Ovis aries: one gene and its partners. The protein of the gene in region 2 purifies or fractionates together with the protein of the main gene of each other region. This does not show direct contact. Links are inferred from orthologs where the notes say so. Each region holds a gene or a part of one and is shown on either strand. Other genes may lie near its edges.

Evidence for each region. The genes of interacting proteins can lie anywhere in the genome.
Region 1: the proteins of SMARCB1 (region 2) and KPNA2 purify together in Homo sapiens (affinity purification with mass spectrometry; 3 studies listed by BioGRID and IntAct, with this or other methods). This does not show direct contact. The link is inferred for Ovis aries from reciprocal best matches to the Homo sapiens genes SMARCB1 and KPNA2.
Region 3: the proteins of SMARCB1 (region 2) and H2AZ1 purify together in Homo sapiens (affinity purification with mass spectrometry; 3 studies listed by BioGRID and IntAct, with this or other methods). This does not show direct contact. The link is inferred for Ovis aries from reciprocal best matches to the Homo sapiens genes SMARCB1 and H2AZ1.

Annotation. Positions count from the first base shown.
Region 1 is NC_056064.1:48,653,711-48,657,704, reverse strand, and holds the start of KPNA2 (importin subunit alpha-1), read left to right. Parts: upstream 1-1,190; 5' UTR 1,191-1,292; intron 1,293-2,898; 5' UTR 2,899-2,921; coding exon 2,922-2,996; intron 2,997-3,145; coding exon 3,146-3,283; intron 3,284-3,994.
Region 2 is NC_056070.1:71,287,406-71,291,578, reverse strand, and holds the start of SMARCB1 (SWI/SNF-related matrix-associated actin-dependent regulator of chromatin subfamily B member 1), read right to left. Parts: upstream 2,811-4,173; 5' UTR 2,623-2,810; coding exon 2,530-2,622; intron 1-2,529.
Region 3 is NC_056059.1:25,067,494-25,071,630, forward strand, and holds H2AZ1 (histone H2A.Z), read left to right. Parts: upstream 1-1,448; 5' UTR 1,449-1,552; coding exon 1,553-1,555; intron 1,556-1,998; coding exon 1,999-2,076; intron 2,077-2,357; coding exon 2,358-2,471; intron 2,472-2,822; coding exon 2,823-2,952; intron 2,953-3,200; coding exon 3,201-3,262; 3' UTR 3,263-3,633; downstream 3,634-4,137. UniProt on the Homo sapiens protein: Variant histone H2A which replaces conventional H2A in a subset of nucleosomes. Nucleosomes wrap and compact DNA into chromatin, limiting DNA accessibility to the cellular machineries which require DNA as a template.

The sequences.
Region 1 (3,994 bases), on a different chromosome or scaffold from region 2:
AGAAGGAACCTCCATGACTCTCATTACTGTTACACAATGAGTGAGGCTGGCAAAAATGCCTGCAGGAGGGACAAAGTTCATTGTTTGAATCATAGTAAAAAAAGAAAAAGCCAATACAGCTTTTCTTAAAAATACCCTTCTCAGGATACAGAAAAGCTGCGAAAAGAAAGTGGACCATAATCCTGAGGTTCTGATGACTATCACTGAAGCTTTTTTTAAATTACAAGAAAATGCAAACATTTTATTTGAAATATATAAAATATAGCATAGATCATTACTATAACAATTGATGATCTGAACACAGAATAAATAATCGCATATAAGTTCAATTGTCTTGAATTTGATGATTATGGTGTGGTAATATAACAGAATGTCCTTATTCTTACAACATACAAGCTGAAATATTTAGGGGTAAACGGACAAGATTTCTCAAACTTACTCTCAAATGGTTCAAAAAGTAATATGTAAAAGCCATGTATATATAAATAGAGGTACACGTGCATGTGTGTATACATATATATATACATACACATCAAAATAGTAAATTAACATTTAACAAATATGGATAAAGATTTGCAGTTCTTTTGTATTTCAAATTATTAAAAATAAGACTGGAGAAGCAGGCATTAATAAAGCTTTTGTTAACATAGTTCTGCCTTCTATGCAGTCTTTTATGACACAAGTTAAAAACAGTAACTAACAAATGCAGCACATATCTGCCTTATCCCTCCCCTGCTTGATGTCCAGAGACCCCGGCAAAGTTCTTTCTGAGTCCCATCGGGAAAAATGCATAGCAATATATTTCTTTATTAAGATTTTTAAAGAGAATTATTTTGGGAATCATTTGTGGTACTTAGTTAAGGCAAACACTCAGGAAAACGACCAGCCACCACACCGCGGTAAACCCATGCAAAGAGCTGACCCTCCGACCAAGATGGACAGGGAACCGGCCCTGCGCGCTGCATGCCGGGATCTGGAGTTTTTCTTCTCCGCACTGCAAGGCTCTCAGGGATCGCGCGGCCGCTCCCTTATCTCGCGATGCTATCCTATCTACTTCTGGGCCCTCTGACCCCTCCCCAGCTAACGTGTTTTTCAAATCCACCAATGGGCGTATAGCGTAAGCTCGAACCAGCCAATCGGAATGCGGAGCCACCGGGAAATTTAAATCGCGCCGGCCGGCTGCACGAGCCACACCGTCCTCGGGCTGACCGTGGTAGACGTTTGGAGGCAGTAGATCCCGCAGCTTGTGCGCCGCGCACAGCCTCCGGTGGACGCTTGAGCTTGCTGTGTAGGTAACGAACTGAGGTCGCAGTGCAGGTGGAGCGACAAAGGCTGGTCCTTAGGCCGCTCTTGGATTGCTGGAGGCGGGAGGGGAGTCCCGGGGTAGACGCCCGGCCAGGCTTCGGCCTCTCTGGTCGATGAGGCCTTGGGGGCGTAGTTCGTTGACGAAACGGGTGTTTCACTGTGGATGCGAGTGCATGGGCTTTAGTGCCCGAGGCCTTGCGAACCGCTGCAATCGCCTTTGAGTAAGAATTATTAGAGTCAGGCCCGAGAACGAAAGCCTCGGTAGGGGGCCCGACGCCTCTGGCTCCTCCTCCGCGGGTTCCCGCTGCTGCTTCCCCGAAATGGGGGTGGGGAAGGGGGTAGGGGAGGGGACTGCAGATGGAGGTGGCAGTTGGAAGTGCTATCTCTTAATTTGTAGGCCCTGGGTTGGCTGTGTCACGATTTCGTAAAAGAACAGAATGGAATTAAAGATAGCCACTTTGAAGGAGGACTTTTGTGATTTTTTTGGGAGATTGCTCTTAAGTAGGTGAGTTTGAGTGGAACGCAGCTGATAGAGCCTAATTTAGTGCATTCACTCAGAATTTCTGGAAATGAAAACGTGCGAGATGCTGAACTGCGTCGCAGGTGTTCAGGGTGGGCAGGAAATTTTATGAAAGTTTACATAATGTTAACGACGAATCAGATTTTTAAATATTTTCAAACGTGCAGAATGTATCTGTTTGGGCCGTTTAAAGCCAGTAGAGCCTCGGAGAAGGCAATGGCACCCCACTTCAGTACTCCTGCCTGGAAAATACCATGGACGGAGTAGCCTGGTGGGCTGCAGTCCATGGGGTCGCTGAGAGTCGGACATGACTGGGCGACTTCACTTTCACTTTCATGCATTGGAGAAGGAAATGGCAACCCACTCCAGTGTTCTTGCCTGGAGAATCGCAGGGACGGGGGAGCCTGGTGGGCTGCCGTCTATGGGGTCGCACAGAATCGGACACGACTGAAGCGACCTAGCAGCAGCAGCAGAGCCTCCAGATCTGAATTTGTGGCCCGTACGACATAGATTTTAACTGTAACCTTATATCCCGTACGTTGTCTTCAGTTAACTATTCATGGATCCTATATAGAGTCTAGAGCCATGCTGTGCAGTGTGATAGTCACCAAAGGCGTGTGGCTAGTCTAAACTGAGTTAATGCTGTAAGCTTAAAGTACCTGCAAGATCTCGAAGAATTAGTATGAAAAAAGAATGCAAAATAGTTCAGTAATTTTTTTGATGTAATGTGTTGAAGTGAGAAAATAGATATTGGAGTAAATAAAATATATTATTGAAGTTAATTTCATTTGTTCCTTTTTGCTTTTAACAATCGTGGCTACTAGGAAGCTTAAATTTATACAGCTTGCATTATATTTCTGATGGACAGCACTGCTCCTGGAAGCCTCAGCCCTTCAGAGGGGAGGGGCCAAATATAATTTGGCCAAAACTCATGTTCCATAGTGCTGAAAAAGGAAGTTCCTCCTCTAGTATGGAAATACGGATTGAACGTGTATTTGATAATTCCCTTAATGCTATGTTATTGCCAAACAAAGTGATAAAAAGGAAATTTTTTTCTCTCCCCTATCTTGCAGCTTTCTCCCTTTGTCTCATAATCATGTCCACCAATGAGAATGCTAATTCACCAGCTCCCCGCCTTCACAGATTCAAGAACAAGGGGAAAGACAGTACAGTGAGTACCTTCTGTTGTTTTTCTAGTATTTTTTAAATGGTAAGGTATTTGGAAAGAGCGTCCACACTTTGAGTGAATTTAAAAAGTTGTCTTCACTTGGCACCTAACACTGATGTAATAGGTGAGATGATACGTTATCTTTTCTCAAGGAAATGAGGCGGCGCCGAATAGAAGTGAATGTGGAGCTAAGGAAAGCTAAGAAGGATGACCAGATGCTGAAAAGGAGAAATGTCAGCTCTTTTCCTGATGATGCTACTTCTCCACTGCAGGAAAACCGCAACAACCAGGTGAGGATATTTTAGTTTATGAGTTATGGTAAACCCAGAAAATCAATATGAGGCCTTTCTGAGATATTTAAATAACATGTCTTAGCTTTGTGGGTTTTAACTATCAAATGTGAAGATCTGTCTTTGTGTGCTCCTGTTCAGTAATTCTGATGGATTATCTTCCCCCCGCCCATCCTCTGTAATCTGTGGAAGCTGATTCCAAGGTTGTCTTTAGCTCTGATCTCCCCTTCAAGTTTCCCTGCTTTTCCAGTTGCCAGCTTTTACTTTGAGTTGGCCATTCAAGTGTTCAGTGAAAGTATGTCCAGAACCAACTTTTTTTTTTTCCTGCCTTTTTTTTTCTTTCTCTCCCTTTCCCTTCCTCCCTCCCTCTCTTTTTTTTGTAGTTGTCACCAGCTTTTTTCAGGTCTTTTTCCTCAGCTGTCTCTTGATTTTCTTTCTGTGCCACTTACTGTTTACCTAAAAGTTTTCTTAAAATACTGCTTAAAACATCTTAGAAATTTTATGATTCTAAATCCTTTTTAAAAGGTTTTTTGGAAATTAGACCCATCCTAGAGTTCTACTCATGGAGACTTCGTGATTTTATCAGAAGTCAGGGAAAGTTGCTCAGTTGTGTCCAACTCTTTGCGACCGCATGGACGATACAGTCCATGGAAGCCAGAATACTCTAGTGGGTAGTCATGCTCTTCTCCGGGGATCTTCCCAACCCAGGGA
Region 2 (4,173 bases):
GGGCAACACTGCCCTCTTCTCAGCCTCCCTACTCCTCTTGACAGATGTTCATCAGCTGTAAAGTTCACCCTCGAAGGACCCACTTGTGCTATTTTCCCATGTACCTACCCCACTATAGTATTTTTCTTTTTTAGTTTCTCCATTTTTCATGAGTTTAGAGATTTACACAACCACGGCTGCTGAACAGCGTGAGAGAGCGGCCACAACGTCCCTCCTGCTCCTTGCTGCAGGGGCAGGCCCTTTCGAGTTACCTGGCTTGAGCGTGGTTACCATCTGGGGGTAAACATAGAGTTTCTAGGAGGTTTTTGACAAGACACTGACCCTAATGCCCCCAGTACCACCGTGCAGGTCCTGCAGGCTTCCCAGCCTCCTAGGCCCTTCCCGAGGTCCCTTCAGAACTCAGGGGACTCAGTCTGCCCCCTGGGTTTTCCCTGCACAAGCTTTTGCCCCCTCTGGACCTGGGTTTCCCAAATGGAAAACGAAGGTGTTGGTATGGAGGCCCCCTGGGCTCCCCTCGGCTGTGCCTCTGTGTGGTGATGACAGCTGCCCCTGGGGGGGGCAGGACTGGGGCAGCTGCAGACACCCTCCCAAGGCTGCTACCCCGAGTGGTGTGGGGCGCTGTAGGCACTGCTCTGCCTGGCGTGCCTCTTGGAAACCAGCGCCTGCTGTTTGCCCAGGGAAACCGCCCGGGGGCCAAGCACCCCTGCTGTCAGAAGAGCTGCTGGCTGTGAGTAGATGCCAGTCTAGCCCTGAACCCTGCCCAGGCCTCCTGAGGTCTGAACATTGTAAAGTCAGGCCCCGGACGGCAACTGCCTCTCCCTCCTGCCGTCTGGTCTCCATAAACTGCATCTCAGGACAAATCTTCTCACTCACCAAGACTGCAGTTGTCTTTCTCAGTCTGAGATGTGCTGCAGGGCAAGTTGCAGAAGCTGTCTAGCCTAAGCATCTCATCAGATGCCCGAGACAAGTGCCATGGACACCAGGCTGGAGCCAGAGCTCCTCACGCTCTGCCCACCTGACACCGGGCTCCACCCAGTAAACACAAGCTTGATTTTCAAAAGTACCACCGACTCAGAGCCAGTGCTAAACCAAGCGCTTTTCCTTCCTGCCCGTTAGATCCGGTGAAGGTTTCTTTAGTTAACCTGCCAGTCACCACATGCCGCATCCGTGCCCACAGGCTGGCGAAGACCCTTCTGAGCTGCGGCACGTGGCAGGCAGTGGCGCCTCTCTCCAGTACGGCCAGCTGTCAAGAGGAGCGTTTCTGTGATAATGTGAAAGTACGTTGCATCCGGCCCCGTGTTTCATAAAAACCGGTGAGGAAAGGAAACACAGAAAGTTCTGATGCTACTGACAACATGGGTCTCCTAACTCAATACAAGTCAGACAAGCCACAGGGAGTCACAGGGACTCCCGAAAGCCTCACTGAGTGTGACCATCATGAGGCTTAATTCATTCACAGCGTATTCCATCATGAAGAGGGAAAAAAAATGGTAAAAAAGAACAAAAGAGTGAAATGCGTAAAACTGAAAACTGCTGCCAGGAGAAGCAAGCGTCGGCGGCGTTTGTGACTGCTGTAACTCCCCAAGACCCGCACTCGCCTCTCTACAAAAGGGAGGCACTGCTGCTCGGCGCTTGCACACCTGAACTGCGGATCCGTAATTTTAAAATGTGTGTGTGGACACACACGCACACGCCGGAGACTGCCAAAGGCTGAGGGACACTGGAAGAACTTCGTATACTTGGTGCACACTGCTAACCCAGCCGGCTCACAGTGCTGCAAGGTCACTGTTTAGGTAAGGATGAAGGGGTTCCGCGCTCGTTCCCTCGCACTAACTCAGAGTTAGTCCAAGATAGCCGAAGTGCCAGGTGCCTCCCATTTGCTGATGGATCTAGCTCAGGGCTGGCTGGGCCCTAGCCATCCAAAATCAAGCATCGTTCTCCCAACCTGTCTTCTCACTGATAATGGAAGATCAGAACGCCCACCCGCCCAACTCCAAGTCAAAGAGCACCAAGCGGGTGAGCCCCCGACTAAGCTCGGTGTTTCGAATCAGCGGTTTCAGGATTCCAGCTGGGGCAACGAGGGAGAGGAGGGAGCGTGCGAGGGGTCCAACTCCTCGCCCCGTGTGCAGCAAGGGATAACCCAACACCCCGTTTCTGTACGTCCGGCTGGAGTTGTGGAACTCAGCGCGGACCCGGGGCCACCGCGACCCCCGCGGCCAGGGACACGCGTGAGCGTTCCCAGACTGCGGAGCGCGGGGCGGGGCCTGCTCGACCACGCCCCGATAGACCACGCTCTCGACCCGATCCGCCCACCGCGTCCCTGCGGGACACGGGTGGGCGTGCCCAGACGGCGGGGGCGGGGCTGCTCAGCCACGCCCCAACAGGCCACGCCCCGATGCGCCAGGCCGCGCACGCGCACGCAGGCCCTCCGCGATGAATGGAGACGCGCGTTCCCGGCGCGCAGACCCGCCCCGAGGCTCCCGCGGGAACCGGGCCGACCGGGAGGCCCGGAGGGCAAGGATCGGCTACCTCAGAGCCGATCATGTAGAACTCGCCGTCGTCTTCCAGCTGGAACTTGACGGGCTTCTGCCCGAAGGTCTTGCTCAGCGCCATCATCATCATTGCGGCGGCAGACGCGGGCGGCCACGGCCGGGCTGCGAGGATCGGGAGGGCCGAGGCGGGGCCGGGGGCGCTCCTAGCCCGGGGAAGCCGACGCGGGAGGTGAAGGGCGGGCCGGGCCGGGGGCGCTCGCGCCGCCGCTGGGCTTCTCTGCCGCCGCCGCCGCAGAAGACGAGCAGGCCGCCCTCAGTGCGCAGGCGCGGGCGTTGACGCTGACGCGCGCGTCGCCGCCGCCGTCGCCGCCCTGACAAAAGGGCCGAGCGCGCCCCCGCGGGCCGCTTAAAGGAGCCTCGGCCCGTTTCTCGGCCTTCCCGGCCGCCTCCCAAGTGGAGGTACCAGGGAAGGCCGCTCACGGGCAGAAATAGCAGCCGCCGCCCTGACTCGAGCGGCGCCCTTCCCCGTCTCACAGCCGGGGCTGGCGTGCTGCCCTGGTGAGGAGGCACGAGGCGAGGCCCGGAAGGCCGGGAGGAAGCCAGAGGCTCCCTTGCCTCAGTTTCCCCGCCCAGAGGACGCTGTGCGGCTGAGCACATGGGCGGCCCAGGGACCAGTATCCCAGCTCCGGGCCAGCCCCCCGGCCCCCGTTCCTGTGGCTCTGGGGATGGGGCGGGCATGGGCTGAGACTACCGGGCTTGCAGGATTCCTAGGCCCAGCCGGCGTCTGTTTTGCCCGCTGAGAGCTGGGGAGGAGCGAACGTCCCCGTCCTCTCCTTAACTCTGTGCCCTGTGCCTCCCCCTGCCCTGGGGCGCTGGCAGCCCAGCGGGCCGACACACAGGGAGGCACCCGTGTATCCGGTGGAGCACGGCAGTAGGTCAGAAACGGCCCACTGCTGATGGCTGCCCATGTCAGCACCTGATACCTGGCAGCTATGAGAGGCGCCGCTATGAGCATCCACGTAGGGGGGTGTGTGTGTGTGTAGCGTCTGTGTGTGTAGGGTGCGTGTGTGTGTGTGTATAGGGGCGTGTGTGTGTGTAGGGGCGTGTGTGTGTGTAGGGTGTGTGTGTGTGTGTGTTTGTGTGTGTGTGACTTGCTCCGTCATGTCTTTTTGCACCCTATGGGCTGTAGCCATGGGATTCCCCAAGCAAGAATACTAGAGCGGATTGTCATTCCCTTCTCCAGGGGGTCTTCCCCACCCAGAGACTGAACCTAGGTCTCCTGCATTGCCTGGTGGCTCAGACAGTAAAGAGTCTGCCTGCTCTGCAGGAGACCTGGGTTGGGAAGATCCCCTGGAGAAGGAAATGGCAACCTTCTCTAGTACTCTTGCCTGAAAAACCCCATGGACAGAGGAGCCTGGTAGGCTACAGTCTGTGGAGTCGCAAAGAGTCGGACACGACTGAGTGGCTTCACTCACTCCTGCATTGCAGGCGGATCCTGGGCTCTCTGAGGGTGGCAGGCAAGTAGACCCCAGAGAGTGAGGAGTCGGCCACGGTAACCTTGAGTTCGGTTCTGTGTCCTGACAGTGGCAGGATCGGAAAATGTGAGCAGCGCTTGGTGGACGATGGTCTGAGAGGCCGCTGGGGAAATGGGGAGCAGACTGAAGCCACTGTAGGCCTTCAA
Region 3 (4,137 bases), on a different chromosome or scaffold from region 2:
GGAAGAAAATAACAAAACTCTCTGTCAAATTGTTGGGAACTCCTTCACTGGAACTTACTTATCTACCAGCTATGGAAGGGTCCTCTAATTGGATAAAATCTTTCAAACTGAAACTCAAACTACAGTACTTGAGAATACATATATTAAAACTTTTGGACATCAGAAATATATTTAATATGTAATACACTATTAAATGCTATAAATATAAAAGACAGATCATTACTGTCTTCAAGCAGCTGGACATGTACACAGGTGTTATTAATCTATTAGTTGGACGACTATGTAGCTGGCATTATGATAGTGCTGTGTGTACAGTACTATTTTTTAAGCCCATCATTTGCAACTGATTACATGGACCATCTGTAACTGTCCTTGAATCACGTTAGAAGTTACCCCACTGACATTTACAGAACATTTGTCATGTAGCAAACTGTTTAGCATAGAAAAGTTGATACAGAATAGCTTTGAGGTTTCATTAAATCAACTTTAGACACCAGGCTATAGGTACAACCCATTGATGTGTAATCTCCAGAAAGACACGGGTTATGATTTGATTGAAGAATATCGTCTCACTCCAAGCCCTCTAGGGGTAGACTGAAGTGTCTTTTCTGACCAGCAAGGGGGCTTTCATCACCGTTTTTCCCGTGAAAGTATCCCACTGGGGTGGAGGGGGTGGTTAAGGCATTCAAAAATGGTGAGGAAAGACGAGGGAGTTAGAACTGAAAATGACGTGGGAGCAGTGGATCATGATCAGTCGGTGGCTCGAGACTCGCCCAGGGGGGTTAGAAGACTGAAATCACTATCAAGACTGTGGTCAGGGAAGGAATTGGGGCTCCTCTCACCGGACGCGTTCGCGCCACCTGTCAGACTGAAAAAGCTGGGCGATGCTGAGGGTACCAGGGAAAAGAGTACCCCGGGCCTCGGGAGAAGGCTGTGGACTGCTGGGTCTCTGCCTTCGAGGCGCTCATTTGGAAGGGGAGGGCAGGAAGTGGGGCGCGCTAGACCCCGCGGAGACTTCACGTGGTCTCTGGAATCAGGCTAGGAGACGAAGGCGAACGGGTGATGGTAGGGTGCGCGATACTGCGTGCCCCTCCCCTGAGCCTCTCAACTCCGCCTCTCGGACACGTGACCACAGCCGGGGCGGGGTTGGGGGGGGCTCGCCTAGCTCCCGCAGCATAGCTCGCTCTGTTTCTTCCCTCCCGCCGCTGTGCCCTTCTTCTCCCCAGTTCCAATCCCTCCGCCCTCCCCCCCTCCTTCCGCATGCTCCAATAGGGATTCGAGCTGTGAAGCGCCCGCCCCTCCGCCCTTTTCTTCGCTTTCTCATTGGCTGAAGCTTCAAGGACGCGTCCCGAGGGCGGGGGGCAGCCATTGGTGGGATGAGCAATCCGAGTTCCCGGATGAGGGAACATTCTGCAGTATAAAGGGAGCGGGGAAGGCGGGAGACAGCGCAGTTTGAATCGCGGTGCGACGAAGGAGTAGGCGGCTGGTTCTCGCTGGGTGTCTGACTAGTCCTTTCTCTGCTTTGCTTGTTTGAGCTTCAGCAGAATTCGAAATGGTAAACTTGGTGGAGACGCTCGAAGACTCCGCGGGTTTTTGCCGGCGGGAGAAAAACCCGTTACACACGGAGATGGGGGTGAAGCGGCGACGGTTGGGAACGCGCGGAGACAGGATTTGGAAGAGCAAGGGGAGGTGTTTTGTCGGCGGCGAGCGGAGCAGCCTCGGATCTCGCGGCGGGCGGTGACGGTTGGGTGGCGCGCGCAGCGCCGCTGGGGGCCGGCGGGCGGCGAGCAGGCGGACCGAGGCGCGCGGCCGCGCCGAGCGCGCGGCGGGGGACGGGCGGGCGGGGTCGCCCTTGCGGCGCGCCGCGGGCCGGAGACCCCGGCTGGGCACGGGGCCGCGCTCGCGCCCGAGCCGCGGCGCGGTGGGGGAAGGGCGCGCTGCTCTGGTAATCCTATATTCTGCGTTCCTCCTTCGCTCGCGGGCGTGTGCGCGCCGCAGGCTGGCGGTAAGGCTGGGAAGGACTCCGGAAAGGCCAAGACAAAGGCGGTTTCCCGCTCGCAGAGAGCCGGTTTGCAGGTCAGTGGTTGTTCGTGCATTCTGGGAATCGTGGCGTTTTTCTTTCCTTTTCCTCTCTTGTTTATCATCGCTCTAGATGAGCGTTTCGTCTTTGCGTGGGTGATAGTGTCGCGACTTGGTTTACCGATGCAATAAATATCGGGGGGGGGCGATCACGTGTGTCTGTGGTGGGGCGCGTTGCTGCACCGGCGTCCATGACCCTGCCTTTGGCGCGCGTATAATTAATTATCTTTGGCTCGTCTATCTTTGTGCATTTATGTTTGTGTATGCTAAAAACGAAGTTCCCAGTGGGCCGTATTCATCGACACCTCAAATCTAGGACGACTAGCCATGGACGTGTGGGCGCGACTGCCGCTGTGTACAGCGCAGCCATCCTGGAGTACCTCACCGCAGAGGTAAATGGGTGTACGCCTATAATCTGGAAAAGGTTGGGAGGGGGTGGGGGGAGGCGGCGAGAGGGAAGGAGGAAAGTGATGCAAGAAAACTCCCAGGCTCTGTACGCAGCGAGAAGCTTCCGACAACGCTAGAGGGGGCTGGTGATCATGATGGGGATCCTCCTGAGCTTGACTTTGCGGCCTTAGGAAATAAAATTGCGTGCCCTCTTTATGGCTTTTGCTTATCTTGCCATTCAGGTAGTGGGGGAGATGACAGTTGGTAGATATACCTTCATCATGAAGGTTTGATTCTTGTCTGGATCTTGACGTTAATGAAAGTTGGAAGGAGATTGATCGCATTTTGCCTTCTAGGTACTTGAATTGGCAGGAAATGCATCGAAAGACTTGAAGGTAAAGCGTATTACCCCTCGTCATTTGCAACTTGCTATTCGTGGAGATGAAGAATTGGACTCTCTCATCAAGGCTACAATTGCTGGTGGTGGTATGTAAATATTAACTTATAAATTTCTCTAGAGAAAAGAATTTGCTTTTAAATTTCCCTCTAGTAATTTTCAGTCTAAAAGAGGACACAGTATATTTTCATTGATCTGTAGTATGGTTGCATCATGAAATTTGATTTCTCTTACGTACTTCTGAATTTTTACTCTGCGCTTACATTGAAAGACATCTTCCAAGTTGAACATTAAACTCTTGGTTTTAAAGTAGTATGTTATTTTATCCCTTTTCTAGGTGTCATTCCACACATCCACAAATCTCTGATTGGAAAGAAAGGACAACAGAAGACTGTCTAAAGGATGCCTGGATTCCTTATTATCTCAGGACTCTAAATACTCTAACAGCTGTCCAGTGTTGGTGATTCCAGTGGACTGTATCTCTGTGAAAAACACAATTTTGCCTTTTTGTAATTCTATTTGAGAAAGTTGGAAGTTTAATTAGCTTTCCAACCAACCAAATTTCTGCATTTGAGTCTTAACCATATTTAAGTGTTACTGTGGCTTCAAAGAAGCTATTGATTCTGAAGTAGTGGGTTTTGATTGAGTTGACTGTTTTTAAAAAACTGTTTGGATTTTAATTGTGATGCAGAAGTTATAGTAACAAACATTTGGTTTTGTACAGACATTATTTCCACTCTGGTGGATAAGCTCAATAAAGGTCATATCCCAAACTAGTTGTGTATAAAATTTGCTTGATTATAGTAGGAACAGCTTTGTTTTGAATAGGTATCTTAGCTAGCAATAACTTAAGCACATTTCTTCCCTTGAAATTACTGTTAATTCTGTCTGTAGATCAACAAAGTTAAAAGGCCCAAGTTTTTTTTTTTTAAATACATTGTAATGAACTATTAAAAGATTTTAAAACTTCAGCACAAGTTGATGTTTTTTAGGCTAAGTTTAACCATCTGAGTTCATCAGCTTTGTTTGCTGTTTGTGATAGCAGCAAGCACTACACCAGCGCACTGTGGGGACTTGGGTGGGGTTGGGGAGCAGAGGCCAGGTAGGAAGGTCCTATATGCAGCTGCCTACACAGTCTAAACTTTTCAGTTTAGACTGATAATGTTTGCAGTGTGCTACACGCTCTTTTGAAGTTTACTTGCATTAAATTGTTCAGTATATGGTAACATCTTTGGGGAACATACTATTCACATTTAACAGAGAATCAAGATTTT